4 linked regions of the Lytechinus pictus genome follow. The protein of the gene in region 1 purifies or fractionates together with the protein of each later gene. This does not show direct contact. Links are inferred from orthologs where the notes say so. Each region holds a gene or a part of one and is shown in the gene's direction. Other genes may lie near its edges. The genes, in order: intraflagellar transport protein 88 homolog, intraflagellar transport protein 46 homolog, intraflagellar transport protein 25 homolog and intraflagellar transport protein 81 homolog.

Region 1 (7,928 bases):
CGGATGTATAGATTATGAAAGCGGCATATGGCTTAATTTCGGCGGCGCAAAAAAAAGAAAGAAAAGGAATTAACATGGGGAGAAGAGAACTAAAATGAATGCAGAAAACGAAACCAAAGAAAATTAAGCAAAATTAAGGGTCGATGAAAATGAATCAGATAATATGGAGAGAATGTATAAATTGGCAAAAAGCAAACCTATCGATCACTAGGTCACTTTATATGCGAAATAAAGATTCCACTCGCTTTATTTGGAGACCGAATTTATACAAAACTAAAGGGTTGATGAAAAGTGAATCAGATAAAAATAATGACTGTCAATATTCAATTGTAAGAATTAGAGCTCGAACTTTGAATTATAAGCTTGCTCACAGTAAACACAGTTTATTACAGAGCTCTATATTGGCGGAGCAAAAAAAAAGGACAAAAACGGGGAAAGAAAGAGAAATAAGGAAGAAAAAAGAGAGAACAGAGTAAAAGGAGGGAGACGAATGAATAAAATAAGGTGAGAGAAAGGCTTGCCTGGAAAATAAAAAAAATCTTTCATGTCACTATATATTATTTGCTAAATGTTTATGTTTATGGACAGGTAACTCCCGTATGAACTCGGCAGGACAGCGTGCCAACAGCCAACCCATGCATCCTATCCATGATTACAAAAGTACTTAAAATGTCCAGTTTTCAGGCCTTAAAATTAACAAATTTCACGCTCTCATTATATAGGCTTATTATAGATTAATAAATAAGATAATAACATTTTTATGAATTCCTAATAACTAAATTTTCCCCCTTATTTTTATATTAGAATGGAATATTGATAAGTTCACCTCGCGCTTAGCCGTTACGTCAAACCCCCGTTTGGAGAAAGACCGCAGTTCAGATTGCAAACTGCGGTTCTATACCCCATTTTGCGTTTGTAAATCCCAAAATCATTTCCAAGCCCAGGGGGCCGTTTCATAAAGCTGCTCGTAAGTTAAGAGCGACTTTAAGAACGACTGGTGATCCTTTCTCGCGCGCTAGATTTTCGCCAATGGTGTGTACCATTTACCGCAAGACAGGATCACCAGTCGCTTTTTATTTACGAACAGCTTTATGAAACACCCGCCTGATCAATCCCGCTAGGCCAGGTAATCCCCGCTGTCTCCACAGGCCAGATTATGAGCGTTGAGCCAAGGACGAAATGATAAACAACAGCTGTGCTATTACGTAAGACTTCTCTGCCTGTAGTAGGACCTTCGGAATGAAATTATTGTATTCGATATTTAATCACGTTTTCAAATGCATATTGTATTCAGAAATCCAATGTTAGTCCATTTTCAAGTTCGAACGAAGAAAATCGACCTCGAAATAAGGAAAGTAAGTGAATTAAAATGACGGCATGCTTTGGCTTTGCTCGGGCTGTTGTGTTATCTTCGGACCAGAAACAGGTGTTTTGATACTTAAATTGCTTGCTTGGGGCAGTTATGGTTTGTCGTACTTGGAGAAGAGAATTGATTGAGGGAATCTGGGGTATAGTGTTTTCAAATGAAAGGTTTTCGCCGGGAAGATGAATATGAAGATGGTGATCATTTTCATATGATGTCAGAATGTCCATATAATGTCCCGGTCCTATATAGGTCAAAATATTAATAAAAATATGATAAAAATAATAAAAACTCGCGCTAAGTGAAATCCACACCCACTTCACAATTTTCATACATAGTGCACTGCTTGAAATAGTCCCAATATTGCTTGAATTTACCCTTTTTCAGATTGGAATATGAAATACTTTCAGCTCGATCGCGCTTCGCGCTCTCATTATTGTTTGTCATGATTTTATTTTTATGCTTTTTTCATTTGATGATTGTTTTGCCAAGTGTACATATAAATAATTATTACAACTATTATCATTTTTTTGTAAGTTTAGGGGCTTTCATAGTTGTTTTTTCGGCAAGCCTCTCCGTTTTACTCTAAAATACAAAAATTTGTCTGTATATTTTATATAGACCTAATTATGCATGTTATATATGATATTAAGTCTTGTTATGTTATGTTTATTATATTATTTACAACATTGTGAAACGGAAATCAATGAATGAAATGATGTATTCAGAATGCCCTGGGGACCGTTTCATGAAAGTTGTCAGCACTGACAAGTTGTCTTTCTTCGACAATTACCATAGTAGCAGTCAGAGGCCAGTGCCTTTCAGGCTTTCAGCCAATCAAAACCAAGGATTCACTGAAATTATCAGCACTGAAAATTTAGTCAGTGCTGACAACTTTATGACTCACCCACCAGATTCTATATAGGTCTAAATCTTAAAAAAAACGCGCATGCATGTTTATTGAGATCAGACGCAGCTTGTTCATCAGTCGAAACGTTTTTAAATTATCCAGTTTCAGATCAGAATACCTATTACCCATCGTTTTCATGATTTACAAAATATGAATAGAGTGTCTCGTTTTTAGGTCTGAAAAGTCAATTTTTCCGCTCACGCTTCGCGCTCGTGATAATTTTTTTTTTTTTTTTTTGGGGGGGGGGGGGGTCGGAATGTCAATTTTTTAGCTCGCGCTTCACGCTCGCATTATTTAATTGTTTGAATATCACTTATTTTCACATTGAACAGTACACTATGTACAGTGATATAAAATGAGACAGTTGATGATGTCCTCTGCACTCACTATTTCGTTTGTTTGTCTTGTTTGAATTATTTACGATGTTTCATTTCTTTGTTTTCTTTTTTTTTAAACAAATTTGACTAGTTACCAACTTGACTGAACCACAAAATGTTATGACTCGAATGAAACTTTGTTACACGTAGTGACAAAAGGATGATATTCAAATATTTCATATTTCATTACAATAAAATACAAAAAAATAGTGATTGTCATGCACAATTGCACATCATGGGACTGCATGATGCCTGCATGACAATCCCTACATAATTTTTTTGCATAGTGTAACTGTTTTGTGAAAATACCCAGAAGGAAAAACCAGTAAGACCAGTATTTTTTTTTTTACTGGTTTCCAGTAGATTTTTACTGGTTTCCAGTATATTTTTACTGGGCCAGTTGATTTTTAACTGGACCAGTAAAAATCAACTGGAGACCAGTTCCAACAACTGCATTCCAGTTGAAGCAATTAGTAATACCAGTTAAATTGTTTTTCATCAAACTGATGCTATATACTGGTCCAATAAATGGTTTCCAGTAGATTTTTACTGGTTTCCAGTATGTATTTACTGGACCAGTTGATTTTTAACTGGACCAGTAAAAATCAACTGGAGACCAGTTCAAACAAAGTAGTAATACCAGTTAAATTGTTTTTCATCAAACTGGTGTTGTACTGGTCCAATAAATAATGACTTTATTTCAAGTCAGATCATACGACGAATTATGGAAAATGAATCTTGCAATTCAGAGAAAGTTATTACCGTTATCATTTATCATTGTTATCATCATTCTTTTTATAATTAATATAATTATTATGATTATTATGATCATTGTTGTTATCATTCTTATTACTTTTATCATTGTTATTGATTTTGTAATTATTATTATTAATATTATCATAATTATCAAGTATGAACATTATCATTAAAATAATTATTTCCTTTTTTAAATGATTAAGATAAATCAAGATATATTCCTCTGATAGAGTCAACTGGTCTAAAGTAATTCATTGTTTGAAATTGAACTGGTCAAGACCAGTAATTCTGATGATGCTGATCACGTGGTTTACCTCATTTGCATATTTCCTGTTTTTTAAAGAAAAATCAGGATTTAGAATGGAATATCCTTGCAATGGCACTCATTGTTGTTTAAAAACTGTCTAAATAAGTGTGTAAACTAATTCACAATGAAAATGTGTAATTTCATACGTCACATTTGAAATAACAGCAGAAAGATTAATTTACTAACCATTTTTTCCATCACATTTCACTGACCATGGTATATAACAAACCAAATGCATGTAATAAATTGATCCAGTAAGACCAGTATGATGACCAGTTCGACCAGTTCGAGGACCAGTCAGACCAGTAAAAAAATACCAGTAAAGACCAGCTGAAATTGGAAACCAGTATGAAGACCAGTGAGACCAGTAACAGCCACCAGAAACAAGACCAGTATAACATTCCAGTAGTTCAAGACCAGTTAATTTTTAACTGGACCAGTAAAATTTTAACTGGACCAGTATGACCAGTTAGACCAGTAAACCGATGTTCCAATTTCCAGAGTTACCAGTTAAAATTATACTGGTCTAACTGGTCCAGTGCGGGAACTGGTTTTTCCTTCTGGGTAAGTGAAACTTTAATTGTCATAGCTTTCTTATTTTATATCCGATTTTGATACGATTTTCAGCATTGTGTTTGTTTAACTATATATCCATATTGACAGTGGCGGACCGTGACCCGGAGGAGACAAAGCATTGGAGGGGCACTGTATTGTTTGTGAACAATGCTGTGCCCCTCCAATGCTTTGTCTCCTCCGGGTCACGGTCCACCACTGCATATTGATTCAAATCAACTTAAAAAAAAAAAACATGTATCTTTAACAAAGTTTATTGTTTAAGTTGTTAAAGTTTCAGTTAAACAACTACTGTAAGGTTCATACAGTAAATAACCAGCGTTGTGTAAATTTTAAACAACTCTTTTACTTCTTTTTACTTTTTTATTTTATATATATTTTTTTTTAATTTAGATCCGGTCATCCGGAAAAGATATAAAACATCATCATGGACACGAAGGATTACGACTCAGTGATATTGAATATACTGAAGTGAGATGTCTTGTTATCTCGGGTCTTTGCTCCGTCAACGTCAAAACGCAAAGCATCTTGGGTAAAAATTCCTTCAACGAAAATATCGAGCGCTACTCTCGAAATTTACTTATTGGTATGTTGGGTCACTTTTCAAGTTTTATATGTTATTAATTGAACTATTCCGACTTTGATATATGTTATGTTTAAGTCATATAAATAAAAATGCGCGTAGGCCTAGATAAATGGGTTAACAAACTTCACACATTTCGTGTTTCCATGCCCACCGGTGACGCTGATCGCCAGCGGATTGTTGAAGACAGTTGACCCGAGGCATCCGGCGCCCTCGCGGTCGCTTGCTCGGTGGCGTTTCGTGTCGCGAGCCGCGGCCGCGTCTGTCGCTTTGAAAGAATAATAACGTTACTATTTCTAATTTTCTTTGGCCATTGCTTAACGTTAGACGTATTGCATGCGTCATCTGTATCTGCACCATCATGTCTGCCATCACATTTTTCTGTCATCATCATGTCTGCCAAATGAAATAATGCTTCTTTTTTTTACCCCCAAGCCAGGCCCAAAATTCACCTTTTTTTTGGCCAAATTCAGGCTTTCTTTGGCTTGGGGCTTGGGCTTTTTGTCTTTTTTTTTTACTTTGTGACTGGTCACAGTCTGACTCGTCTGAGACTGAGTCTGACTCTGCTCTCTCTGTGGACGTGGGGTGACCATAATTTTGCATTGCCAGGCATATACCGGTATTGCCTTAGACCAAAAGCTTCGGTCTCTGTTATGTTGTTGGTTGTTCAGCTGAACTCCGTTGGCTTCACTCACCAAATACAGAGACCGAAGTTCTAGCGCGATCTGTACAGGGGACCCAATGGCCATATGTTTATGTACTTAAGATCGGATAAAACGGGGAAGTGAATTTGCGCGACAGCCGAGGTAAGTCACTGTTTTTTTTCCTTTTAACTTGATTTTTCTCAGTTTTTTGGCAATTAATGCCAAGAGGGAATATTAATTTGCATTTTGGTCGCGTTAATTTTCAAAATTTTTATTCATTAAAAACAAAAATTGAAGAGCCCCGACGGGGGGATTTTGCATTGCAAGTCCCCTAATGGTGGCTGCACGCTAGCGAGCCGTCTGTGTACGAGGAGAAATAAAAAAAAATAAAAAAAGTTAAAAAACTCCTCGAAACAGACGGCTGCCAGCTGTCTAATATTGCCTTGGCTTGGGCACTTTTCAAAAATTCAAAAAGATAGTAGGGCCTAGGCTAGACAGCTGGCAGCCGTCTGTTTCGAGGAGTTTTTTAACCTTTTTTTATTTTTTAAATTTCTCCTCATACACAGACGGCTCGCTATCGTGCAGCCACCATTAGGGGACTTACAATACAAAATCCCCCCGTTGGGGCTCTTCAATTTTTGTCTTTAATGAATCAAACTTTTGAAAATTAACGCGACCGAAATGCAAATTAATATTCCCTCTTGGCATTAATTGCCAAAAAACAGGGAAAATTAAGTTAAAAGGAACAAAAACAGTGACTTACCTCGGCTGTCGCGCAACTTCACTGCCCTGTTTTATCCGAACTTAATACACATAAACATATGGCCATTGAGTCCCCTGTACAGATCGCGCTAAAACTTCGGTCTCTGTATTTGGTGAGTGAAGCCAACGGAGTTCAGCTGAACAACCAACATAACAGAGACCGAAGCTTTTGGTCTAGGCCTAGGCCTACAGGCTACACTACAGTTAGGCACTTCAGGTGAAAATTAGGAAAGCGAAAGGATGTTCCAGCATATTTGATGGGCTCACAATGAGGCTCAATATCTACGATTCACAAAACTGTTTGAATTTTCAAATTCCGATATCTAGAAGTCGAGTCATTGTCATCTTTGTGATGAAAAAACAGGCCTTTTTGTGGACAAAAGATTGCGAAATCTTAATTATTCTCTTTGTTTTGGGCATGGCACATTTATAATACATAGCTTATGGGGAATTGTACAAGCTTTTTATTTAAATCTTAAGGACGTTCCACAGTTATGTTTGTGCGCATTATGATCTGCGCATATTTTACACTCTGCGCGCTGACGTCACAATGGATGAACATGTGATTAATTAGCTGTAGGTATGAGCTAATATTTCTCCTTATCTGATCTAGCTGCAAACACAATGCGTTATTTTATGAAGCTAAAAAAATTGCATTTTTAAAAAGTATCTCTACAATTTCATAATACTTTACTCTGCAGTGCTGCAAAGAATGATGAATATGACCCCGAGTTTGAATAAATGGACGAGTGGTTTTTAATTTTTCTTCAGATGGATACAAAGCATTTGGCGCGTTTTTTGTGTTTTAAAAAGCACATTTGCTCTAATAAAAGTGCTGATAGTTTGAAAACAAGCACATGAACACCTATTTTTCATTGTTTGCACCTCTTAAGTATACCTTCCTCTACAACTTTGCAAAGTTTGGTTAAAATGACATGGATTTTTAATAAAGTGCAGCATTTATTGCACTTTCTAGTTTGTTATTGAAACTTTACATTTTTGATATTAGGTTTTTGTTATCTTTTACGCTATTTTTTAAGAACTGATAGTGCTGTTAGACTTAAAACAGTAAAAAAATAGCACTATAAATAGATTCCCAATCTTAAAGATACAATTATTAACTCTCTTGCGAAATTTGATGAAATTTTCATGGATTTTGACTGAGTAATACAGGTTTAAACACACTGTAGTGCATCTCGTGAGGTCTAAAAATGCCAAATTCTTTTGAATGCGCAATTCTTGAGAACATCCATTTGAATGAACCTTTAAAGCTCTATAGCAAAAAATCAAGCACATGGACCCATGTTAATTTATGCATATTTCGATTATTCAGGTTCTAAAGTATCTATGTGCAAAGTTTGGTGAAAATGACATGGATTTCACTTTAACTGTGGAACGTCCTTAAAGTACTCAGATTGATTTGACATATTGGCATATGATTTCTTTGGTTCAAGGGCAACTACCCCTGGACGATAACCCCTCACCCCCTCACCCTCGGACAATTCCCCTCCCCCCACCCCCCTGGACAATTACCCCCCCCCCCCCGGACAACTACACTGTACCCCTATCCAAAAATCTACACCTAACCTAACCCTATTTCGGGGGTAATTGCCCTGTGGTAGGTTTGTGCACAGGGTAAACATGACTTGATAT
Region 2 (8,507 bases), on another chromosome or scaffold:
TAAAAATTAAAATATACACTACTCAAAAAAAGTTAAGGACCACTTTTTAAAACGTACATAAAGATTTTATACAAGGTGTTTTATTTCTGGAAATACCTCAGTACAACTGTCCTAAATGTCCTTAAACACGCTGTAATCAATTTCACGCATGGGTGGTTTCAGTTGTTGCACAATGTCTCTCGCATCACTGCACATCCTGAAAAGTGGGCCCCGAGGGGTATCAGCTACCGACATGAAGTGGTAAAAACGAATGTCTGAGTGTCTTTCAGGCAGTTCAGTAACGAGTGTGACCACCTCCTGCAGCAATAACGGCTTCACAGCGCTGTCTCATGGAGCTGATGAGGCGATTGATGTCTCTGACGTCCAGTGCATCCCATGCAGCCTCCAGAGCCACACCCAGCTGCTGCAGTCCAAGTGGATGGGCTTCGAGCTGCTCGAGACTCCTCCCCATCATGTCCCAGACGTGCTCTATCGGGTTTAAATCTGGGGACCTCGCTGGCCACTCCATACGCTCAATCCCCTGGCCCTCAAGGAACTCGGTCACCACCCTAGCTCGGTGGGCACGGGCATTGTCATCCATGAAAATGATGTTTTGTCCCACATTTTCTGCAAATGGCACCACTATAGGTTCAAGGACCTCATCCCTGTACCTCACTCCTGTCATTGCTCCCCCTGGGACCACGTAGAGACGAGTACGGTTGGCGTAGGTGCCCGGGGGGGCCACTTCCATTGACGAGTGGATACCATGCGCGACCATGGGGTCTCGAAAAGCACCCTAAACACGTATTTTCCATGTTCTGAAAATGCACCCCTTAACAAGTATTGGCGTCTGAAACCCTACCCTTAACAAGTATTGGAAACAAAACTATACTCTTGGCAAGTATTGAGTCCCTGAAATGAACCCCTTAACAAGTATATTTTATTGTTGTGTCACGGCCGGGTCCGTCGGTCGTCGGTTTTACCTAATTTACACACCATTTGGTTTAGTAAGGTCCCACCTTCCTCACCTCGCGCAAATCAGGACTCTAAACACGTAGTGTTGGTGCAAAAAGGACATCCTTTATACAACATTTTAATTTTGTTTTATCATCCCCGCAAATGTGACCCTAAACACGTAGCTTTCCTAGCGAAATAGATACCCTTTTTTCATTATTTTTGTGTTTTTGACACCCTTATCACGTTACGTACGTAACGTGCCCTATCTTGAAAAAGACACCCTTTTTACGTGTTTTCTTGGTCGCGCATGGTATCCACTCGTCAATGTAAGTGGCCCCCCCGGGCGTAGGTGATGCCTCCCCACACCAAGACGATGCCTCCACCATAACGGTCATGTTCTGCAATACAGGGGTCTGCAAATCTCTCTCCTGGTCGCCTCCAGACTCTCGAACGTCCATCATTGTGGTCAAGGGAAAATCTGCTCTCATCTGTGAACAGAACTCTACGCCATTGCTGTCTGGTCCATCTGACATGCTCCCGGGCCCAGTTGAGACGAATTCTTCTGTGAGCAGGGGTGAGTGGGACACACTGAGCTGGCCGTCTGGCATGCATTTTGGCTCTGTGAAGTCGGTTACGGATTGTTTGAGTGGAAACAATCACTCCAGTTGCTGCAGCGAAGTCATTGTTGAGGCGGCGTGCACTGTGAAAGCGGTTGCGGAGGCTGAGATTCGTCAAGTAGCGATCATCTCTAGGAGGCTGGAGCCAACGCCGGAGACGGAGTTCAGTGGAACAACCAACATAACACTAACAGAGACCAAAGCTTTTGGTCTACTTTGAATGAAACAGTCTGTTAAGTTTAGTTTACTCCAACGATGTTGTAGGACTAACGCACTCGCACGTATTGCGAGGTTAGTATACTATACTTAGTCCGGGTTATAATTGAGCAAGGTGCCACTTGGAGAAGGAGAAATTTTCATATAATGCTTCTAGACCAGTTTTTTACGCTGAATATGAATATATGAGGTAAACAGGCTGTATCCTGAAAATTAACCTGTGAGGGCGCTTTTTTCAAAATGGCCGCCAGATTTTCATAAAATTTGAATATTCGTACATAGATTTTTACATAAGCATCCAATTGCCATGAAGTTAGTGTCATATGAAAGCCAATTAAATTTCCTACAATTTGGTACTATTTATAGGGGATAAGTAGGTCATTTAGCCGAGATTTTAAGTAGAAAACTGCATTTTTTGTATTTTTTCCCAAAAATTGAAAATTTTGCAAATACATGATTTTACATAATTCTAAGAAAAATGAATCAATTACCTTGAAATGTTCCTGAAGACTTTTAAAATATATTATTATCACGTGGATGAAATTTCAACTTTGTATCATTTTTCTAAGCAAATTTGTAAGGTATCAAACTTGAATTCTGCAATATCATAAATGTTGCTTTTTGTATGCATTTCCATAGACTAATACGTATAACATGTATAATGCATGTATGTATAATGTTTACCGGTAGTTAAAAATTAAATGCAATTATCTCCGCTTGTACCACGTGGAGAATTAAGAGTAGGCTTTTCTGTATCAGCTACATAAAAAAAAATGTTGGCACATCAAGGCCTGACCCTCTCATGGGGGTGGGGGTGTCGAAGTCACCCCTTTGCTATATCATGTTGTTGTATATTGCCTATTTGTTAAAAAAATTACATATTTTTTGAGCACCCATGGAGGCAAAAACAGGCATTTCTGCTATACAGTACAGCCACTTTGATTGCTTTGAAACCACTTGGAGAGGAAAGAATAGGCTTGTTCTACCAGCTATACATCTAAAGAAGTAGCACATCGAAGCCTACCCCTCTCGGGGTGGGGGGGGGGGGGGGGAACTTTTGCTTAATATTGCCAATTTATTTGAAAATTTACAATTTTGGACCCAACATTCAGGCCAAAAAGCGTTTGTGCTTTGTTGTACACCCCGTTTTATTGATTTGAAACCACTTAGAGAGGAAAGAGTAGAATAAGGTAGAGTTTATCAGCTACATATATATAAGCGCTGGCACGTCGAACCCTAGCCCTCTCAGGGGCTGTCTAAGTCAACCCCCTCCCCCCGCCCTCTATATCATGTATATTGCCTATTTTATTGGATATTTCACCATTTTGGATCACCCATTGAGGCAAAAGCGCGTTTCTACTATATAGTACAGCCAATTTTATTTTCTTGCAATGACTTGGAGAAGAAAGAGTATTATAATAGACTTTGCTCTATCAGCTATAAAGAAGTGTTGGCAAATCGAAGCCTCTCCCCTTCAGAATGTTCAGCGGGCTGTAGAATTTACCTTACCAATTTTCGGTATTTGACTATCTATTAGACATTCACAATTTTGGATCACCTATTAAAGCAAAAGGGCGTTTCTACTATAGAGTACAGCAAATTCTATTTACTTGCAATGACTTGGAGAGGAAAGAGTAGGCTTTGCCTTATTAGCTCCATATAAAGAAGTGTTGGCAAATCGAAGCCTATCTCCTTCAGGCTGTAAAAGTTACCTCACTAATTTTCGGTATTTGGCTACTTGTTGAAAATTCACTATTGTTGAGCCCCCATTAAAGCAAAAAGGCGTCTCTGATATATAGTTCTGCCACTTTTATTGCCTTTAAACCGCTTAGAGAGGAATGAATAGGCTTTGCTCTATCAGCTATAGAGATGTGTTGGCAAATAAAAGCTTACCCCCTTCTGGGGGCTGTCAAAGTCACCCCCTCTCCCCTTTGCATTATTGCCTATTTATTGGAAAATTCACAATTTTTGAGCCCCCATTGAGGTAAAAAAGAATCTCTGATACATGTATGTAGTTCTGCCACTTTTACTGCCTTGAAAGAGTAGGTGGACAGAATATGCTTTGCTCTATCAGCTACATATAAAGAAGTGTTGGCACATTGAAGCTTACCCATCTGGGCGGCTGTCAAACCATTCCACCCCTTTTGCATTATTGCCTAATTATTTGAAAATTCACAATTTTGAGCCCCCATTGAGGTAGTATGCACTTCTGCTGTATAAAAAAAACCGATTTCATTTTCTTGAAACCATTTGGAGAGCAAAGAGTAGGTTCTCCTCTTTTAGCTATATATGTCGAATTGCTGCCGTATCGACGCCTGACCCACTTCAGGGACTATACATGTAGCTGTAACCCCACCTTTTTTACGATTTTTGCCAATTCATTGAAAAACTCGCAATTTTCGAGCCCCCATTGAGGCAAAAAGGTGTTTCTGGTATATAGTAGAGCCACTTCTTTATATAGCTGATAGAGGAAAGTCTACTCTTTCAAGGTGGTAATAGTGGCAGAACTATATATCAGAACCGCCTTTTTGTCTCAATGGGGGCACCAAAATGGTGAATTTTCAATAAATAAGCAATAATGAAAAGGGGGTGGGGTGATTTCAACAGTCCTCTGATGGGGATATGCTTTATACGTAGCTTTTAAAGCAAAGCCTTTATTCTTTTCCCTCCAAGTGGTTTCAAGGGTGAAAAAATGCAGAACTATATATCAGAAATACCCTTTTGCCTCAATGGGGGCTCCAAAATGGTGAATTTCAAGAGGGGGGGGGGTAATTTCGACAGTCCCCTGAAGGGAGTAGGCTTTTACATGTATTTGCCAGCACATATTTGTATGTAGCTGATAGAGCAAAGCCTATTGCCATGATTGTTTCCTCTCCAAGTGGTTTCAAGGTAGTAAAAAAGGCAGAGTTGTAATCATAAATGACTTTTTGCCTCAATGGGGGTTTCAAAACGGTGAATTTTTTTCAATAAATAGGCAATAATTCAAAAGGGATGGGGTGATTTCAACAGCCTCCCGGAGGGGGTAGGCTTTTATTTGCCAGCACTTCTTTATCTTCTTTATATGTGGCTGATAACGCAAAACCTATTCTTTCCTCCCTAAGTGGTTTCAAGGCAGTAAAGGTGGAAGAACTATATATCAGAACCGCCTTTTTGCCTCAATGGGGGCTCCAAAATGGTGAATTTCAAGAGGGGGGGGGGGGTAATTTCGACAGTCCCCTGAAGGGAGTAGGCTCTTATTTGCCAGCAAATCTTTGTCTGTGGATGATAGAGCAAAGCCTATTGCCATGATTGTTTCCTCTCCAAGTGGTTTCAAGGTAGTAAAAAAGGCAGAGTTCTAATCAGAAATGACTTTTTGCCTCAATGGGGGTTTCAAAACGGTGATTTTTTTTTCAATAAATATGCAATAATGCAAAAGGGATGGGGTGATTTCAACTGCATCCCGGAGGGGGTAGGCTTTTATTTGCCAGCACTTGTTAATATATAGCTGATAGAGCAAAGTCTACTCTTTCCTATCCAAGTCATTGCAAGAAATTAAAATTGGCTGTACCATACAGTGCGTATAAAAAAACGGGACAGATTTGAAAAGTCTATAAAAATTTTGTTTCAAATAATGATGTCTATATTTTGGTGTTAATAGATGCGCTAAGGTCTTATCTTTGAAATGCAATTAAAAAAGATAAATTTTGTTCATGCTTGAGCGAACGCAGGACGTTTTTGTTGGGGGTTCAAAAAGAGGCTTGCGCCAGAATTGCAGAATATTAATAATATGATGATCAGATGATCAGACTTCTTGCTAATCGGGAGACTTCCTCTTGTCCTTTTCATTATCTGTGCCACAATTTTCGAATTATGCTGTCAAATTTCATTTACAAATTTATTCATTTAATTGATATTTTGTTTTTTTCATTTAAACTTCTCTTACCTTTTAATTTTCCTTCATAAGTAACTGAGAAAAGAAGATTTTTTGTCAACCCAAGCAAGAAGATTTGAATTATTAATTGGGAAAACTTGTGATTATTCAAATCCTTTTATTATGTGAAACAAACTATGTTATGTACCTTTAAAAGACATGAATCTTTTTTTCAAGGGGTCATTAATTCCTTGACCAAGTTTATTTGCTTGACAGTAAACACAGGAAGCGATTCATGTCTTTCAATGACATGAATCCCTTGTATGTATTGAGTCAATTTTGAAGGAGCTAGATATGGAAGATCGGGTAAAATGTATTAAAAAGTTGTGAGCGAGCGAAGTGAGCACGCAAATATTCCCACTTTTTTATTACAATATCAAATTTTTTGATAGATTTTGACAAAATATTTAGAAAATAACACATTTTACTTTCTATCTTTCCTTTTATTTCCTGTCCACTCTTTTTCTTGGTCATGATTTTTTTTGAGGGGGGGGGGGGACATCCCGAGCGCCCGCCCATCTGTGTGGCACTGTTCAAAAGGCACCATAACCTTTGTAGCACTCAATGAAAGGATTTGAATAAAAAAATCCATGCTCTCCCATAATTCGATTGAAACAAAATTGTTTTAGCTTGAAGAAGGAATATTCAAAGCTAACAGAGAGCATATTAAAAAGAAACAACAGAATAATTCAAGCAAATAAATAGATCTGAAAATGAATTTTGACCGCATGATTTGAAAATCATGGCAAAGATAGTGAAAAGGTTAAGAGGAAGTCTGCTAATTAGCAAGAAGTCCGATCATCATATTTATAATTTTATGCCATTTTGGTGCAAGCCTCCTTTTAAACCCCAGACAAAAACATTCCGTGTTCGCTCAAGCATGAACGAAACTAAATTTTTTTAATAGCATTTGAAAGATAAGACCTTAGAGCACCTATTAACACCAAAATATAGACATCATAATTTGAAACAAACATTTTATAGACTTTTCAAATCTGTCCCGTTTTTTTCTATACGCACTGTATAGTAGAAATGCCCTTTTGCCTTATTGGTGATTTAAAATGGTGTAATTTTCAATAAATAGGCAATATACATGATATAGAGGAGGGGGGGGGGTGACTTTGACAGCACCTGAGAGGGCTAGGGTTCGATGTGAGTGCGCTTATTTATGTAGCTGGTAGAACGAACTCTACTCTTTCAAATCAATAAAATGGGGTGTATTATAATGCACAAACGCTTTTTTTGCCTCAATGTTGGGTCCAAAATGGTGAATTTCCAAATGAATTAGCAATTAGCAAGAGGGGGAGGGGTGACCTCCATACCCCCCCCCTCCCCACCGAGAGAGGTAGGCTTCGATGTTCTACTTCTTTTGATGTAGCTGGGAGAACAAAGCCTACTCTTTTCCTCTCCAAGTGGTTTTAAAGTAATTAAAGTGGTTGTACTGTATAAAAAGAATTGCCTTTTGCCTCAATGGGTGCTTCAGAAAATAGTGATTTTCCAATAAATACAACAACATGATATGGCCACGGGGTGGGGGGGGGGGGACTTCGACACCCCCACCCCATGAGAATGTGTTAGGCTTCGATGTGCCAACACTTTCTTCTATGTAGCTGATAGAGAAAAGCCTACATTAACTAGCGGAGATAATTGCATTTAAGTTTTAACTATACATTATACATACATGTATTATACATGTTATACGTATTAGTCTATGGAAATGCATACAAAAAGCAACATTTCTGATATTGAAGAATTCAAGTTTGATACCTTATAAATTTGCTTAGAAAAATGATACAGAGTTTAAATTTCATCCATGTGATAATAATATAGTACAGTTTTCAGGAACATTTCAAGGTAATTAATTCATTTTTCTTAGAATTATGTAAAATCATGTATTTGCAAACTTTTCAATTTTTGGGAAAAAATACAAAAAATGAAGTTTTCTACTTGAAATCTCGGTTAAATGACCTGCTTATCCCCTATAAATAGTATCAAATTGAAGGAAATTTAATTGGCTTTCATATGACACTAACTTCATGGCAATTGGATGCTTATGTCAAAATCTATGTACGAATATTCAAATTTTATGAAAATTTGGCGGCCATTTTGAAAAAAGCGCCCTCACGGGTTAATTTTCAGGATACAGCCTGTTTACCTCATATATTCATATTCAGCGTAAAAAACTGGTCTAGAAGCATTATATGAAAATTTCTCCTTCTCCAAGTGGCACCTTGCTCAATTATAACCCGGACTAACTAACCTCGCAATATGTGCGAGTGCTACGAACGTGTCTACGCAATCAGTGCCGTACCTAGGATTTTCCACAGGGGGGGCAAAACCGTCCGCCAAAAAATTTGACAAGCAAAAAAAAAAAAATAAATAAGGTCCTCAATCACAGACAAAGGATTTCGTACCAGAAAAAAAATAAAATAAAAAAGTCAATCACAAATAAAGGATTTCGTACCAGAAAAAAATTGACAAAAAAAAAGGTCTTCAAGCTCGTCAGGGGGGGGGGCAATAAAGGTCTTCAAGCTCGTCAGGGGGCAAAAAGGTCTTTCAAGCTCATCAGGGGGGGCAGGAATACGTCCTTTGCATGGGTTGTGGCTCGTCAGGGGGGGCAGACTGCTCCCCCGTAGGTACACTAGTGTACGCAATGGATTTTTGAGTTGTCGGTTAACATCACTTCATAACGCAAATGTTAGCTGAAACTCATTCCGCTACTCACCAGGGCTTTTTCTGGTAAAAAGCGTTCAATTTTCAATCTTTTTTTAAAATAAAAAGAACATAAAAAAGAGCGAAATCGCTTACCTCGGCCTGGAAAGTGGCTT
Region 3 (8,110 bases), on another chromosome or scaffold:
GATATAATTATAATTTTGTGGTTTTAGTGGTTAAACATGTACTAATTATAAGTAATACCAGTGGCGGATATCCAAGGGCGGGGAGCACTGTATAGGCCCATAATATATATAATATCATACATAATATATATTTTTAAGACGAGATCCGGTGCCCAAACCTTGACCGAAGTAGGTCCATGGTGGGAGGAAACAGTTAGCTAGGAAAAGGATCGACAGGGATAAAAGGAGAGCCTGAGAGGGGACCAGGAATTGCGTAATTTCGTCTTCTGGAAATAAAAATTTAAATTAAATTTCCATGCTTGATCGCTTTAAATTTATTCCCCTCCCCGTTTACCACAGTGGAAATAATCTGGGCCGCGCCGTGCATTAACACCATGCTGGACCTTTACATGCCAACAGGAACCTTTTTTGAATTTTCAATAATGCAGTGGCGTTATGAATAAACTTAAATTTCAAATTAATCATAAAATTCTTGATGACAAAAAATAAGTTTTCAGCTTCCCCTAGATTAAGTTCTGTATATTTCTTAAACATTGTAGGCCGGAGACCGGGGTGAACTGGGACGCGGGAGAAGTGGGACACCTCCTATATCTAGAAAAGTTTTCAACTAATCAGCTATCTGTTCTTATCCCCTGATAGACATTAGGTATTAGAGTAAAACCACATGGAAGCAACAGCGCAAGAACTCCCCTGCATGGTAAGTGTAATTTTAAATTTTATTTTTTCACACTTTTTTTGTAGTTTTTTGCAGTCAGTGTGAAGTACTTTTTGAATTTATTCTTATAGCTTTAGCAGACACTTAGCATGCTTTATCTAGGCCTTGTTAGTCCTAATAATTTGCATACTAAGTTTTTGCAAAAATGTGCAAATTTGAAAAGTTATCCGCCATTTAGATTTTTTGTGTTTGTTGGGATAAACTGGGACATGACTGTCCCACCTCTCCCTTTACTGTCCCACTTCTCCCAACTGTGTCCCACCTTACCCCATAGTCATACAATATGGTCCTCACACCAATGACATTCATATCACTTTAAATCAATATGGCATAATCATGTCGGTAGTAGTTCTTGAAGCTTGTGTTCATATAATTGTAGGCCTTGTATAAGTATGGCAAATTGATTCAAACACAATCTATTCAGGAACATGTAGTCTATCAATTAAATTAAAGCAGTAGGCCTACACTTTTACATCACCTTCATCAATACTCTGTTAGAGAACCTACTTGTCAAGTCATATGTTGTGGTACTGTCAACAGTTCATCCCATTTTTATACTTTTGCAGATAACATGCCAAGGAACTACAAACGAAAAACTCGCATGGGACTAACGTCCCATGCAGAAATGTTGGAGGCTGTTCAAGCAGTGGTGAGAGATGGGAAATCGATTCGAGATGCTGCCCAAGAAGCAGACGTAAAAAAGTCAACTCTCGGGAGATATGTTGCCAAGTTTCGCGCAAACCAAGATGCAAGACTAGCTCCTAAATATCAGCATTCCTTGGTGATCTCTCCAGAAAAACTAGAATGTTGAAAAAGTTGATCAAGTTTTGCACATATCTCAGTGTGAAGGATATTGCCCAAACTGTTATGGTTTAAGAATTTTTGTTTTACGTTGACAGGATTTTTACTGTAGCATGTGCAGATTAGGAATTTTCAGAAAATAGATGGGGAATATGTACCATATTTCATGAGTAAAAATACTCTACACAAAAGACTTTAAGGTATCGTGAAACAATATGAGCAACATTTGAAACATATCATCTGTTTTTTACGGTTGCAATATATGCTCAGTTTTAGACGGCTATTCCCATCTACACAATTTGTTGTTTCCCATATTGAATTAAGGAAACTTATGTTCGGTGTTTGTTATTTGCTTCCCCCATGCACAGTAGGTCTAATGTTTAGCGTTGACAGATTAGCTCAAAGCTTATGGCGGGATGGGCAAGTTGAATTAGATTTTAATAAATGTTCTAATTGTTGATGATAGAGTTACAGTTATAAAGTCTGACATTTTTTTCCTGAAACTACTTACACTAATTGTATGTGACAACATGTCCCCAGACCAATGAAAGGTATTAGCTTGTGGCCTTGTGCCACATCAGAGAATTATTGTAACTAATACTCTTGAAATATTTTAACTTCGTTTTTGAAAGGTACCCTAATTTTACATTTGAAAGAGCATCCAGTTTCAAAATCGCTTACAACAGTATAGCCTTACTTGTTACAAAATTTGAACTTCTAAAGGTTGATTATGATTTATTTCCCAAAATAATGACACCAAATTGGTGTGAAGTGTGGAAGGGAAGCATTCACCAACATACTTTTGGTGAAAACAAATTGCTTTGCTCAATTTAATGAACACCTGATCCTTCATTGTTAACTTAGACAAATATCTGCATATGAAGAAAGCAACAATCAACAATACCTGAAGGGCTGAAAATGCCAATACAGGGATATGTTGCCAACATTTGCATTTTCAGCCCTTCGGATATACTTTTATATCTTACTTGTAACTTGTACATGTAAGAGGATGTCACACAAATTTAAAGTACAAATATACATGTGTTTTTAAAAACAGCTGAAAAAAAATAAACCACAAATACATCTATTCATCCACAAGTTTTGATACTTATGAAGGAACAAAAAGGATGAACATCCCACAGCACTGTCAAGGAATGCCATAATTTTTATTGTATCAGTTTGAATTACAAATAATGTTGTTTTCAGCATTAAAAGTTAAAACCAGTTTACTTGAGGAGCATTTACATGTGTCTTGATCTAATGCATTATTTTCTCTGAGGTGTGTGCGTTGATCATGATTGATTTTTGATTGAGATTACAATGGCATTCATCAGCAATTAGGATTTTCTCATAAGTAATATGGTTTACATTGACTCTGATATAATAACTGGCTTTGGTGGATGGCTGATTCATGATTACGTCAAAGTAAGGGCATTGAATAACCTGACATTTATCGATAGTTACATTTTCTTTCGATATGTCTAAGATAACATATTAATAAAAGTATTCTGGGGGCATATCCATTTCATATCTGGTAAGTCATAAATACACATAAATACACACACACCCATTCACACTCACAGGCACGCACACATGAAAAGCACATATATATTCATAATATATATACATATATGCGCAATGTGATATTCTCAACCTTATTAGTAGGCCTATTTATTGTTTGTCTCACTTCTCCCTAGCCATCCCACTTTACCCCAGCCGATGTCCCAATTCTCCCAGAGGTGGCCCACTTCTCCCCGTTCAGAAGCTTTTTACTAATCAATGATTACACAAATATGAGACTTGCAGCAATATGAACCAACGTTCCATCATGTGGCCTAGCATCGGTTGTCTTAAGGTACAAAACACAAGTTCCCAATTCTGAATAAAAGAAAAGTTATAAGAGAAAATTCATCAACTTGTATTTTTTGTCCCACTTCACCCCGGTCTCCCCTATTGCTAAAAGTAATGATGGTAAATATAAATATTTTATGTGTAAATCAATTGTAAAAAGTCTATGGCTAGCTTTTTTGCAGTGACTCATGAATATGATACATATTTCACTAATCAAATAATGATTTAGGATGCAGGATGTGTATACCAAAAACAATTCGTGCTATGAGCTGATTACACTGACCTGTCAATGACTGTTTGCAGTGTCTCGTGATAGAAAAATCTCTCTTGACAACTGGCATACAGTGCTAAGCCCATTTCAGATTAAAGTAGGCCTACAAGAAATGTATCTCAAGGGATTTCAATATACAATTGTTACGAGCGCGAAGCGTGAGCTTATTTTTGTTTGCGACCTAAAACCGGGACATTCTAGTCAGCTACTGACGTTCGCATTGCGAAAAAAATATCTTGAAAATTTGCGAATAAAGATGGTGGAACTAAATGCCCTATTATTTCAGTCTAAATTGCGTACTGACAATGTGAAAGCAATTTACGGGAACTTTTAGCCCAGCGTGTCGTTGGGCGCGGGCGCTGTGGGTGGCTGCTGGGCTAGTGGTTTTGAATCTCGCGCCTTGCCTGCTTATTAGACCATACTGCCGCTGCGCGCGCATGCTCCTAACTTTAGGAATTTATCCCGAAGGGTATGTTTCGGGGCGATGTGAATGCAGGAATAATTAATGGGTATTTTTTAGCCTAAAAATGTTCTCGTAATTTAACGGGGATTCTTGTGATCGAGGCGGTTTGAAACCGCCTCTTTTTTCTCAACGGAAAACACGTACGTATATAAGACTCCGCATAACCTGCATCACACACAATGCATTACAAAGATAATGAAAGAAGTCGAGACGTTTGGAAAATATGCTGGGCCAAAAATCAATTGGACTAAATCAAATCTTATGAAAATGAATATAAACAACGGTGAAACTAACAATCTTTTTACTGAAGATCCTATAAAATGTCTTGGCAGACTTGGTGTCCTCCCCAAATAAAACTGAATTTTTTTTTCTATTTCCTTAAAAACGTCTTTTGGGACTATCATCAGGAAAGAAACATAGTTTAATTTTGAAAATGCATACACATTCAAAAGTTTTATTTTACCATAATATTGTAAGATCTCTTGCTTCCACCAACCAATAAGTCTTTTAATTTTACTCAAGATTTCCTTATAGTTCAAAATCATCTTTGACTTTAGAATCCCGTGCGAAATATACCCCTAAGATTTTAATATGTTGTAACCAATGTCCAAAAAGTGGTAAACTAGGTCTATCTCTTTCTTCTCCCAACCACAAAAAAGTTTGTTTTATTAATCTTCAATCCACTTAAATTTTTTTTACTCTATGGATCGAATCCATATCTTTTAGAAACAATGTAATGTCATCTGCATACAGAACTTCTTTTATTTCCCGTTTCCCAAATCCTATCCCTTTACTTTCATCATCTCTCCTGATATAATGAGCTAATAGTTCAATCGCTATGATAAATAAATGTGGAGAGAGTGGATCTCCCTGCCTTACTCCTCTATTAACTTCAAAATATCTCACTTCACTGCACTAAAAGTGAAGTGGAAGAACGCCATCTCGTGCTCAAACACCGTGGTTACGGGTGACGCATATTTTCTGGGATTAAATAAAAACACCTGATAAATTTCGGTAAATCATCACGGTCATCATGTTTGACGTAGCGCTAGCAGAAGCAGGGGCTCAAGTGCCTATTTCAACGTCAAGTGATGAAAATTTTCCTCCCGAGAATATAATTGATGGGTAAGATAGCCCTGATTGGGCTTGCACTATTCATTTTATTCTATACTTAGTCCCAGGTGTCCAATACCGTGTCAGTTTTACCCACTGAACTACAAGTTCAACTAAAAAAAAGAGTATTGCCGGACACCTTTAATTTTTTATTTCAGTGCTTTAAAAATGACAACTAGAGGAAATGCAATGAAGAAAATTTCGCACTTGCTGTGCCAAATATTATGAAAATTATGAATATGATGAAATTATTTAATATTTACCTAGGCCTACCATTTTCTTTGCATCGCACTTGCCGCAGGCCGCATTCGCATAGGCCTACCCCTCCACGGCCACGAAAAACAAATATTTTCGTGCGTGACAAATTACATCATGATTCCAGACGTGCGCCGGGCGGGTTAAGAATATATTCTTTGTTATAATGATGTAAAGAAGAATTGGTGTGATTTTGTTCTTAATATATCATATCATGAGTAAATTTGTTTGCTTTTTTTTATATCGAATCTGAGCAGATGTTGGAAATATAATTTGTGTTGCTAACTAATTTTATGTTTTCTTTTTAACTGCATATTCCAGGGCACTTTCCAATATTATGCTCGTTTGTATATCGTGATGCTCATCAAGTTCTATCGATGCGCTGCCGATCGTCGACTAAAATAAAGCTCTAGTCACGGTAAACCTTGCGCACGGGTACCTTGAGAACTAGCCGTCGACGATCACCCACAATACACCGCACCTCAACATTCGATCAAAGGAGCGGACGAGAAAGAAATTCGGCAAATCAGGCCTTATTTCTGTCAGAAAATATATCAATTGTTATTGCAAAACTATGTTATATGATATTTTAAGCATTTTCTGTCATTTTAGAGATAAATAAGGTAAACTAAAAGTTGGATTTTTTGCCTTGTTTTTGCAATCTTGTTCTATGTATTGCTCTGTGAAATTAAACTGCGGAAGTCTTACGGTACAAAATTGTTTTCGTACGTAGTAATATGCGCGTCCGGAATCATGATACTGTCCGGTAATACAATATGTGACTGTACAATAGTGGTTCTACCAAGTAACGTTTGACCTCTAACGCTACTACATGTTACGTTGGAGGGGTGGACATGGTGGAGGCACAAACAGGATGGGGGGGGGGTAGCCTGGAGGTAATTGGAGAGTAACTAAAACAAGTTGTAGTATATTGCTGTAGACTTATACAAGCTTAAATGGTAATGAATGCAATGCCTAACTGCCTAACATTAGCCCTAGCCTAGGGCCTAGCCACCAGCCTAGCCGCCATTGAATTCAAACAGTGCGCTAGTCGATGTCAACATAATATCAGGTTTCATAACAAGATTATTGCAAGTTGTGAAAAATAGACGGTGAACTGGGGGAAATTGAGGTCACTGAATCTATTTTTAGCACTCTCAAGCCTCGTAATTGCCGTCTCTATGTCCTGCAGTGGTATTAACCTGTCCCCATAAACAAGGATAGTCTCAATTCATCAAGACATGATTTGTCTTGGTTTATGATGATATCCTTATTTTCTGGGACAATCCCAATTTTTGGACCGGCGCCTCAGACTCTGAGGCACCAGTCCAAAAATTGGGATTGGGATGGGTTGAAAAAAATCTGGAAAAGGGGTGGGGGAAAAGAGGGAGAATTGTGACTGTGAGAAAATAAAAGAAAACATATTAAAAACAATTATTTATTACCCGTAGCAGTTGAAATAACAGCCCCCATCTAAAAAATAACTTGGCGCCATCCCTGATAAAATGCATCAGAGTGCAATCAAACGACCCCAAAAAATGTTAAATGTTGATATGTCACGCATTTTCTATCAATGCTGACGGTGGCGGGCGGTGTGCAAAGAAGATCATGCCTACGTAGGACATGTCTGGAGGTGTCTTTCCAAGGACCATTCTTCGTATCGCCCAAATCGGCTTTGTGAAACAGTTGAGTGATATCTCGTTCTACGTAGAACGGTTCTACCAAGACCATTTCCTGAAACAATCCCCAGGATTCCGTTCCAAGCTTGTGCTGTTACAGCAGTGCAGCATTAGAGACCTGGCCATGGGTAATTATTAGCCTTGAGGACTCCGTGATGATAATTATTTTTATATACTTTTTCATCAGGGAGCCTTGAAATGGTTGCCATATATGCATAAGCGAGACTTGTCAACAAGGATGGATTTCCCTAGGAAATCCATAATTAGAGGGTGAAATCAGTTTGTTTCTCTTGATTTTATTCATCTATGAACCTTCATACACCTAATGCGTACATGAAGGGATTAAAAATATTTTAGTATAAATACGAAAAAGGAGAGGTTTCTTACCAGACCGATCTTGTGTAGATCCCTCGATCCATTTGTAAACACCAAAAATACAATAGGCTTCACCCTTGAACCGCTTCGTTATGACGTAGCTTCGATAAGCGATGTTACAAAATGCCGTTTCAAAGAACAATTTATAGATGAAAATTATTATTTAACAAATAATAAAATTTGAAACTTGATTATAAATAACTATTATTAAATAAAATCAAGAGAAACAAACCGATTTCACCCTCTAATTATGGATTTCCTAGGGAAAGCCATCCTTGTTGACAAGTCTCGCTTATGCATATATGGCAACCATTTCAAGGCTCTGTGATGAAAAAGTGTATGTAAAAATATTTAAAAATATCATCATGGCTAGGTAATTATTGTTTTGTTACTGGGGTGCTGAGAATTGTCAGAGTACCCCAGTACAGAGTACCCCAGTAACAAAAGATAATCCTCCATTGCCAGGTAATTGTTGTGCAGAATAGAGCTTTAACACTTGACTTTGATTTGACTTTCAAGTATTCTACCATAGAATGAAAAGTTAATGGTAATTATAGGTTGACATTGCTAGATGTATGGGTAGTCTA
Region 4 (8,638 bases), on another chromosome or scaffold:
ATCCACCTCACAAAGTACTTGAGCTGAAATTGACCCCTTTTTCAGATCAGAATGTCAAATATTTTAAGGTCGCGCTTCGCGCTCGCTTTGATTTTCAATTTCATGTTAATATATATATTCAGAATTCCTAGATTGTAGGCCTAAATTGGAAACACGCGAGCGCATGTCTATCTAGATACTCAACTTGTTAGTATTTCAATCATTATCCAGTTTCTGAAAAACAAAATTCTGCTAGCGCTTTGTGCTCGCATTTTTTATGTAGGAAGAACCCCTATTACTCATCCTTATTATACAAAACATGAATAGAGTGTCCCATTTTTTAAGGTCTAAATCTCGATTTTTTCCCGCTCGCGCTTCGCGCTCGCATTAATTGTTTTATAGCGACGATCCTGTTCATGGTCACAATAATTGATTAAAATTTTCCATTCTTTATGTAGAAGTGTAAAAAAAAATCGGCTCGCGCTTGCATTATTTTATTGTTGAAATATGTAACGTCTCCATGGCTAAGTGAAATAAGCAGTCCTTAACAGGTACCTTTTTGATCAGTTCAAAACGTATACAAAAATTATGCTCGCGCTTTGTGCGAGCATTATTAAAGTAACAAAGATCGGCAATTTGGACATCCTTTCCATGATGATTTAAAAGACATGACTAGACATGTCTCGTTTTTAGGTCTAAATCTTCCAATTTTGTGCTCGCGCTTCGCATCAATTGCCAAGTTATATATACCTATCCTGTTTAAGTTACAAAAAGTGCCTATGATTTCAATTCTGTTCGCACTTCGCGTTCTTAGTAATTATTTAGTTGCATACACATCTTTTTCATGATAAACATTGCCCAGAAATTTCAAACTTTGGGGAAAAACATAATTTTTTTTAATAAATTAGCTCGCATTATATAAAAAGGTTATGATATCATATATTTATGTTGATTATAAGACAAAAGCTAAGAAGTGACAATTTCTTCATAGAAACAAATATAAATCATATTCGCGCGGCCGATTGGGGAAAAATAATGGTGAAAAAAAATTTGCCCCCCCCCCCCCTTTGGCTGGATCCACCCCTTCATCCTATTTATTTCTCTCCTTCCGTCCATCTCTCCATTCTTCCAGGAGCCGCGGAATGGTTTTGAAAAATGTTTTTTTTTATATTTCTACCAATAAAATTATTAATGAAAATAATGCGGTACAAAAATCAATGTCGTTCTTCTTCCTGTTTTAAACTATATATACGTGTACAAAAAACGCACCACCAGCTAAAAATAAAAAAAAAAAACCTGGGGGTCACAACCCGAGCACCCCACTTCCCAGGGCCATATACAAGGATTCTAATTTATTAATTTTAAAGAAAGCATGAGACATCATTTGTTGAAAAAAAAATTAAAGAGACCTATTAATGACTGCATGTGGTCCTACCGGTACGCTAGATCTGCGCACAAAACTGCTTTCATATGACACGCAAAAGGGATGAATCTTAGTGGAAAAGTGGAATAAAGCAAACAGGATTTAGAAACTGCCTTCGTTGGCGTTCAATAATATGGGTGGTATGATACAAATTCTGCTAGCTTATTCGTACTATTATTTCTGGCCATTGTACTTAGATCAAAATTTTAATGTGGAAACATTTTTATTTTTTTTTTTAATGATACAAATCGAGCGAGGCAAGGACAATGATATGGGGCAGAGTTCCAAGTCTTCATGCCCCAGACTGAATATATTTTGACATCAACTTACTCTAAAAACAAGTGTTTATGTTTTATTTTGTATTATTCATTTTTTAAATATAAGGTAAAATTATAAGTCTCGGAGTGTCAGTTAATGCTGCAAAAGATGTATAAGGCCTACTCTTTTGCAGCACTATCCAGCTACCGCGGCGAGGACGCCCTCCGAGAAGGTAGCCATATCAAAACTAAAAACAAAAAATTCCCCTTAGATTACTGGTGGATCCAAGGGGCATAATTATCGAGAGCCAAAATTGTAATTTGTAATATAAGCATGCCCTTTTTACCCAAGCATGCCCCCTTGAAAGTGAGGATATATATATATATATGCCCTATTTTTTTGCTTGTCAATTTTTAGGGACGAAATGACTTTCAATTTTTGGTAAAAAAATATTTTGTAATGCTCATCAAATTCGCATCGGGAAAATGTGCCCTCCATAGGCCCTGTCCCCCCTAAATTTGAGGTGGGGACCATTGGCAGCGGAAATCAAAAATTTAGGGAGGGGGACCACCAAAATTTTGTGACAAGCCCCCTCCCCAAAAAAAGTTTATCAACCCAAATTTTAGGGGAGACCACATGAATTTTTTAGGGGGGTCCACTGGAATTTAGGGGGCACGCAGGAAAAAAAATTGAACGGCAAAAAAAAAGGTTATCAACAAAAAAATTAGGGGGGGGGGACGATCGTCCCCCCACCTCAAATTTAGGGGGGGGGGCACGACCCCCCCCCCCCGCTGCCTATGGGGGATGTTGTTAGCTTTTTTGGGGGCTAAATTTTTTTTTCGGCCCCCCCCCCCTTTGATAACCTTTTTTTGTCAAAAATTTTGGTGCCCCCCTAAATTTTTTGACTGCCGCCGCTAAAAGTGCCCCCCCCCCCTTTGGAAATCCTGGACCCTCCCTTAATTGCCTAGATATAGATGTTTAAATAATTAATTATTTTGAAAGTCAGAGTGCCCTCGCCCCCCCCCCCATGCTTTAGTTATCATGGCATAAAACTTATGTCATATCTAATCCTTATATCAGCAAGAGGTCAGAGCATACTATCCGTCACCAAACGACTGCATTTGAGCCATTAATTTTCCCTTTTCTCTTCTTTCTATTATTTTCTTGTTATTTAATCACTGTTTATTTGTATAAGCTCGGATCTGAGACTAACTGATACGGTGAACGCACTTTCGTTCGAGTTGTGTATTTGCGTAATAATAGACCGAGGCGAGAAAGGACACGCCCACAATCCCTCGTTCAGTGCCGAGCTCTGTGCGTACGTGTCGACCAAATTTCAAAGAGAAAATTTGTACACAAATCTGTCACAATTCGGACCTAATTTCGCCTCAGATTAACAGATATTTAGATCTCTTTGGAACACTAAAAGTCATTCACTTGGGGTTTTTGAATATGCTGATTCAGGTGAGGTACTTTTCAATGCTTTTAAACATAGATTTAAAAAATTAGATTTTCGTTTTGGGATCCCTATTATAGGTGAAGTACGCCATCTTTTGACAAGATGATGAAGAAAGTGGACTGAAGGAGCGAGAAAATAATGCTGATTTCGATGATAATTTTTTCAAAACATGCGGAATGATAATCATCTCATTGCAATGGGATATAATCCATGTCGCACGTCGACATGTTACCCATTTACTGTGTAGCACGAAATGCCAGGCTCCGCACAGGTCACGGCAGCAATTCGGAGGCCGCTGATTATTGGTTCATCGTGCAGATCACGTCACGTTATGATTAGCCAGGAGGCTCCTAGAGAGTAAAAATCATTCACTAACGACAATGTGTGCTTGCTCTCCACGGAGCCAGGGATTGCGTCCCATTCATATGCGTGTAGGCCTACTGTGAAAAAAAAACCTGAAATTTTCGCCCCCGAGATTTCTACTTTCCTTCTAAAAGATCTAGCCCTAAATCATGTAAATGGCATACAACTTCATTTCCGACATTTCTAAAAATTGTTTACTGATTTCATTTTTATTTTTTAAACAACAATTCATAAAAAAATGGTGAAAAATATTTTAAAAAGACGGGGGAAACTTGCCGCGATATTTACGTCGCCATGTTGTTTTCTTTGCTTTTCGCCAAGCTATAAGACGCATATCCTCGATATGGAGCTCGTCACCACTTTTGTGTTTTTAACAATGCAAATAACATAAAATTTTTGTACACATTGATTCTTTACTCAAACATCTCACATTAAATGTGGGATTCCAAGTTCTTTTCCGGGAAAAACAAAGGAACCAAAATTGGCGTACCCTGTCCAATGTGAAAATTAAATTGAAATTGAATATGGGAGAGAGTGTTGATATTAAGAGAGCATGCATGCGCAAGACACAAGGCAATGGTTTTTGTTAATAATATATATGCTGTTGAGATCGTGGAATCCCTGCCTTTCTCATTTTTCAAGCAGCCATAACGTACTTATTTTGTGCCTGAAATCTTTCAAGGGTTCACTGCCCTGTTTTTATTATTTTTCATTTTTCACACAAGTCACTGTGTAGTTCAGATTCCTCAATATATACATGTACACGCTTCATGTTTTGATCTCTGTTGTTGGGAGATTACTGTACAGTGCGTCCACAAAAACGAAACCGAGATCTAGCAATGATTTATCATAACTTTAATCATAAAAAAAATAGACAAATGACCTACCAATGTAAAGCTTAGAATCTCCTCTTTCATCTAAAATAACTTAGATTAATGAGTGAGCAAAAACAATTTGAAGGAAGGATACCAAAAACTCATTTTGCGGGGGTATCAGAATTTCAAAAAGAAAGTCATATGCCTAAATAGTTCAATATCTGCTCTTTTATTTGATACCTTAATCACAGGAAATGGTCAAAAAGTAAAAAAGTTCTGTTCCCTCGAAACAATGCTTGTATTTCCATAATTTCATTAAATAAACATGTTTTCACCGGTTTCCCACAGAAGCTATCGCATGGTTAACAAAAGACTGATGCATGGCTGATTGTCAACAAAACAGAGTGTCGAGTGAGTCTGAACGCTAGCCTGTAAAACCTTTTCATTTTATGAAATTATTGAAATTCAAGTCTTATTTCAAATAACCAGAACTTTGTTATTTCTTGACCATTTTCTGTAAATTGAGGTATCAAATGAAAGAGCAGATATTGAAATTTTAAACAATGTGGTTTTCTTTTTGAAACCCAGATACAGCCCGCCAAGTGACTTTTTGGTATCCCCTCTTCGAATTGTTTTTGCTCACTCATGCATGAATGAGAAAGTTTACATAAGTTTTACAATGGTAGGTCATTTGTCTATTGTACTTGTGATTAAGTTATGATAAATCATTGATAAATCTTGGTTTCGTTTTTTGCGGGACGCACTGTATGTGGAATAATACTTGCACCTTTTTCTGTTTCTTCCCCATTAGGAAAGCATGTGAAGATTCTCTTCTGGCCATTCTCCCGGAACGACAATAACCTTCAAGAGATTCAAGATGAGCACCCAGCTCAAGTATGTGGTTGAGCAGCTCAACAAAGATCCCTTTCGGAGGAACTATAACCTGATCAGTTTTGATGCCTTAGAGCCACTTCAGCTGTTGCAGGTGCTCAATGATGTCTTGTCTGAAATCAACCCTCAGGTAAGATTTCACTGGACTTTTGAGTGCCAGTTCTGTTTGCGACTTTTACAAGTTTACTCGGCTGCAATTCTGCAGTTGAGTAACTAATGCCCGTCTCACACTATGCGATCCGGTGTGACACGATTTTTCAAGAAATCGCATTTTGCATTAAATATGAAAGTTCCAAGAAGTAAAATTATTGTATTTAAAGTTTGGCATATTGTTACGAAAACTAAAATCATATATTTACTTTGCGGCAAGCCCTCTGGTCGGAGTAAAGTCTAAATCGGCTTCAAGTCGCAGCCGATGATGACGTCATTACGATTTGGAATTGAATTTGTTTTTATTCATTCAGGGAGGCTCTAACTGGACTGAATTTTGATTTCAGTTGTCCTACCACTATTCTGAACTCTGATCTGTATTATTTTATTAGTTGGAATTATCCATATCAAATGTTATCACAATTAATTTGAAATTGGGATTGCAACAAATTGCATAGTGTGAGACGGGCATAAGAGTCGCAAGTAGAAAAAACAACATGGTTGCGCCCATGCACGGGGATTATAAGGTTATAGGCCGATAAATTCAAGTAAGAAAATTGGGAAATCTTGCTCAGTATGATTATTTTCCCAGCTCTACTAAAGGTTGGATAGTATTGTGTGAACGTGTCATATTTCTTCATTTTCTTTTCCATAATCATTGTTAACAATCATGTCTTTTGCAAGAACAGCCTGTTACACAGGCCACCATATTGTGCCTGATTTTTCACTGCAAAACACAATCTTACAATCTTGAATGTGGAAGTTGGTTCACAGTTAATTCGCGCGGAGGTCGCTTGCACCCATTGTGGCAAAGAAAGGTGTGCTAATTGTGACCTCAAATCTATGGCAGACATTCTAGAATTTGAATTTGTGATTTGAATGTGAATCTCAATTTGAATTTGAAATGGAAATTGACAAAATATTACTTTTGATATGAATGAATCCCTTTCCATATCCAGCACAAGTTTGATATCAAGGGGAAATACTGCATTACAGAGACAGCAATATAAGCTGAATTTGAATTTTGAAATCAAATAAAAAAATTATTTGATTTGAAATTTGGAATTGGAGTGGACATTCAAAGTGGATTTAACATCGAAATTTATATTGGTATTGAATTGCCCTTTACCCTCTCCAGCACAAGCTTGACATCAGAGAGGAAACACCAGATGCCACAGCAATGAGAATGCTGGCTGAACTCAAAGTCCTCAAATACAAGCCTTCGGTGGAGCCGTAAGTATCAATTTCACCCTTTCCTCAGTGGTATTGTGTAATTCCATTAGAAACCATATACAGTGGTTAAAATGCTGTTATGTCCATGCTGTGCATGTTGGTGCTTTAACTAGGGGTACTCCAGGGCCCCGTCTTCAAAGAGTTGCGATTGATCAGATCAATCGCAACTATGGACGGCCAGCAACGTCAATATCTATTATGCATGTTTGTTCAAAATATTTTCTAGCATAGATGATGTATATTCATGCATTCATTGTTTTCTAGAAAATTCACTGCACTTCTCTTTGCATACAAAGGTCATTGTGCATATTTTTCGTAGAAAAAAATTATGACACTGATGGATTTGTGAGACGGGGCCCAGGTTGAAAATGGTAAGAACTATGATTTGAACAGGTGAAGTAAAATCAGACAAACAACACTGTAAATTTCATCAAAATTGGATGTGGAAAAACAAAGTTGATAACATTTTAAAATTTTGCATTAATTTGGTGAACTATGCCCAGGGAATAATTTTCCTGGTATTGCATCGCAATTTGCTCCACATTTTTGAAAGACTGCTAGATGCATAAAGTCTTTTGTATAGCATATTTTTACATAGGACTGAAAATTACTTTAGTTGAGAGCTTTTGTCTTATGAGCAAAAATTCTATTCAAATTTGTAAAGCAAAATCATTCCCTGATGCCTGTCTTCATGAATATGCAATGAACAAGCTGATGATTTATTGTATTTTATTATTCAAATTTTGTCATCCAAGAATGATCGTCTGCTGATTTAATAAGATAACCATTGCTGCAACTTATTTCGTCACAAGGGAGATATATCACACACACACTTGTATGAGAATATGAAAATACTTATGATTTCATGTAATAACAAAGGAACAAGAGTACATTACATCATCAGCCCACCTATTGCATATTCATAACAGCGTGCATATAACTGTTTTCACAAAATGTTTCTAAACTTTAAAATTTATATTTGTCTTCGGATTTTGTTAAAATCATAAGATTTACTCTATAGATATCATGAACACGGTCAGAATGGACACCAATAGCCACACAACCATTTGTAAAACCCCCCTTAACAATCCATATGATCAATTTGACTAATTTCCCATTTTATTTTATTTTTTTATTAGGGCTACCTTTCGGCAGGGCCTTGTAGCTGGCAACAAGCCTGTGGTCTATTCCATCTTAGAATGGTTATTCCAGAAGATGCCCGAGCTGAAGAAGAGGGCGTATCTAGCCAGGTTTCTTGTAAAGATTGAAGTACCTGGGGAAATTCTGCAGGAGGAGGCTGTTATGGATACATACGCACAGGTGAGGAATGTCACATTTTTTTTAGTCTTTCTGTTTTTGTCTCACCTGCATAGCAGAGTGAGACTATAGGCGCCGCTTTTCCGACGGCGACGGCGGCGGCGGCGTCAACACCAAATCTTAACCTGAGGTTAAGTTTTTGAAATGACAGCATAACTTAGAAAGTATATGGACCTAGTTCATGAAACTTGGCCATAAGGTTAATCAAGAATTACTGAACATCCTGCCTGAGTTTCATGTCACATGACCAAGGTCAAAGGTCATTTAGGGTCAATGAACTTAGACCATGTTGGGGGAATCAACATCAAAATCTTAACCTAAGGTTAAGTTTTTGAAATGTCATCATAACTTAGAAAATATATGGACCTAGTTCATGAAACTTATACATAAGGTTAATCAAGTATCACTAAACATCCTGCATGAGTTTCACGTCACATGACCAAGGTCAAAGGTCATTTAGGGTCAATGAACTTTGGCCGAATTGGGGGTATCTGTTGAATTACCATCATAACTTTGAAAGTTTATGGATCTGATTCATGAAACTTGGACATAATAGTAATCAAGTATTACTGAACATCCTGTGCAAGTTTCAGGTCACATGATCAAGGTCAAAGGTCATTTAGGGTCAATGAACTTTGGCCAAATTGGGGTATTTGTTGAATTACAGCCATAAATTTGAAAGTGTGTTGGTCTAGTTCATAAAACTTGGACATAATAGTAATCAAGTATCACTGAACATCCTGTGCGAGT

What was found.
Region 2: the proteins of intraflagellar transport protein 88 homolog (region 1) and intraflagellar transport protein 46 homolog purify together in Homo sapiens (affinity purification with mass spectrometry; 3 studies listed by BioGRID and IntAct, with this or other methods). This does not show direct contact. The link is inferred for Lytechinus pictus from reciprocal best matches to the Homo sapiens genes IFT88 and IFT46.
Region 3: the proteins of intraflagellar transport protein 88 homolog (region 1) and intraflagellar transport protein 25 homolog purify together in Homo sapiens (affinity purification with mass spectrometry; 3 studies listed by BioGRID and IntAct, with this or other methods). This does not show direct contact. The link is inferred for Lytechinus pictus from reciprocal best matches to the Homo sapiens genes IFT88 and IFT25.
Region 4: the proteins of intraflagellar transport protein 88 homolog (region 1) and intraflagellar transport protein 81 homolog fractionate together in Homo sapiens (co-fractionation; 3 studies listed by BioGRID and IntAct, with this or other methods). This does not show direct contact. The link is inferred for Lytechinus pictus from reciprocal best matches to the Homo sapiens genes IFT88 and IFT81.

Annotation. Positions count from the first base shown.
Region 1 is NC_087248.1:15,232,541-15,240,468, reverse strand, and holds the start of intraflagellar transport protein 88 homolog, read left to right. Parts: upstream 1-4,736; 5' UTR 4,737-4,872; intron 4,873-7,928. UniProt on the Homo sapiens protein: Positively regulates primary cilium biogenesis. Also involved in autophagy since it is required for trafficking of ATG16L and the expansion of the autophagic compartment.
Region 2 is NC_087252.1:34,530,430-34,538,936, reverse strand, and holds the start of intraflagellar transport protein 46 homolog, read left to right. Parts: upstream 1-5,175; coding exon 5,176-5,217; intron 5,218-8,507. UniProt on the Homo sapiens protein: Forms part of a complex involved in intraflagellar transport (IFT), the bi-directional movement of particles required for the assembly, maintenance and functioning of primary cilia. May play a role in chondrocyte maturation and skeletogenesis.
Region 3 is NC_087255.1:5,608,129-5,616,238, reverse strand, and holds the start of intraflagellar transport protein 25 homolog, read left to right. Parts: upstream 1-4,932; 5' UTR 4,933-5,134; coding exon 5,135-5,226; intron 5,227-8,110. UniProt on the Homo sapiens protein: Component of the IFT complex B required for sonic hedgehog/SHH signaling.
Region 4 is NC_087260.1:11,012,051-11,020,688, reverse strand, and holds the start of intraflagellar transport protein 81 homolog, read left to right. Parts: upstream 1-5,095; 5' UTR 5,096-5,174; coding exon 5,175-5,318; intron 5,319-6,476; coding exon 6,477-6,571; intron 6,572-7,710; coding exon 7,711-7,891; intron 7,892-8,638. UniProt on the Homo sapiens protein: Component of the intraflagellar transport (IFT) complex B: together with IFT74, forms a tubulin-binding module that specifically mediates transport of tubulin within the cilium. Binds tubulin via its CH (calponin-homology)-like region.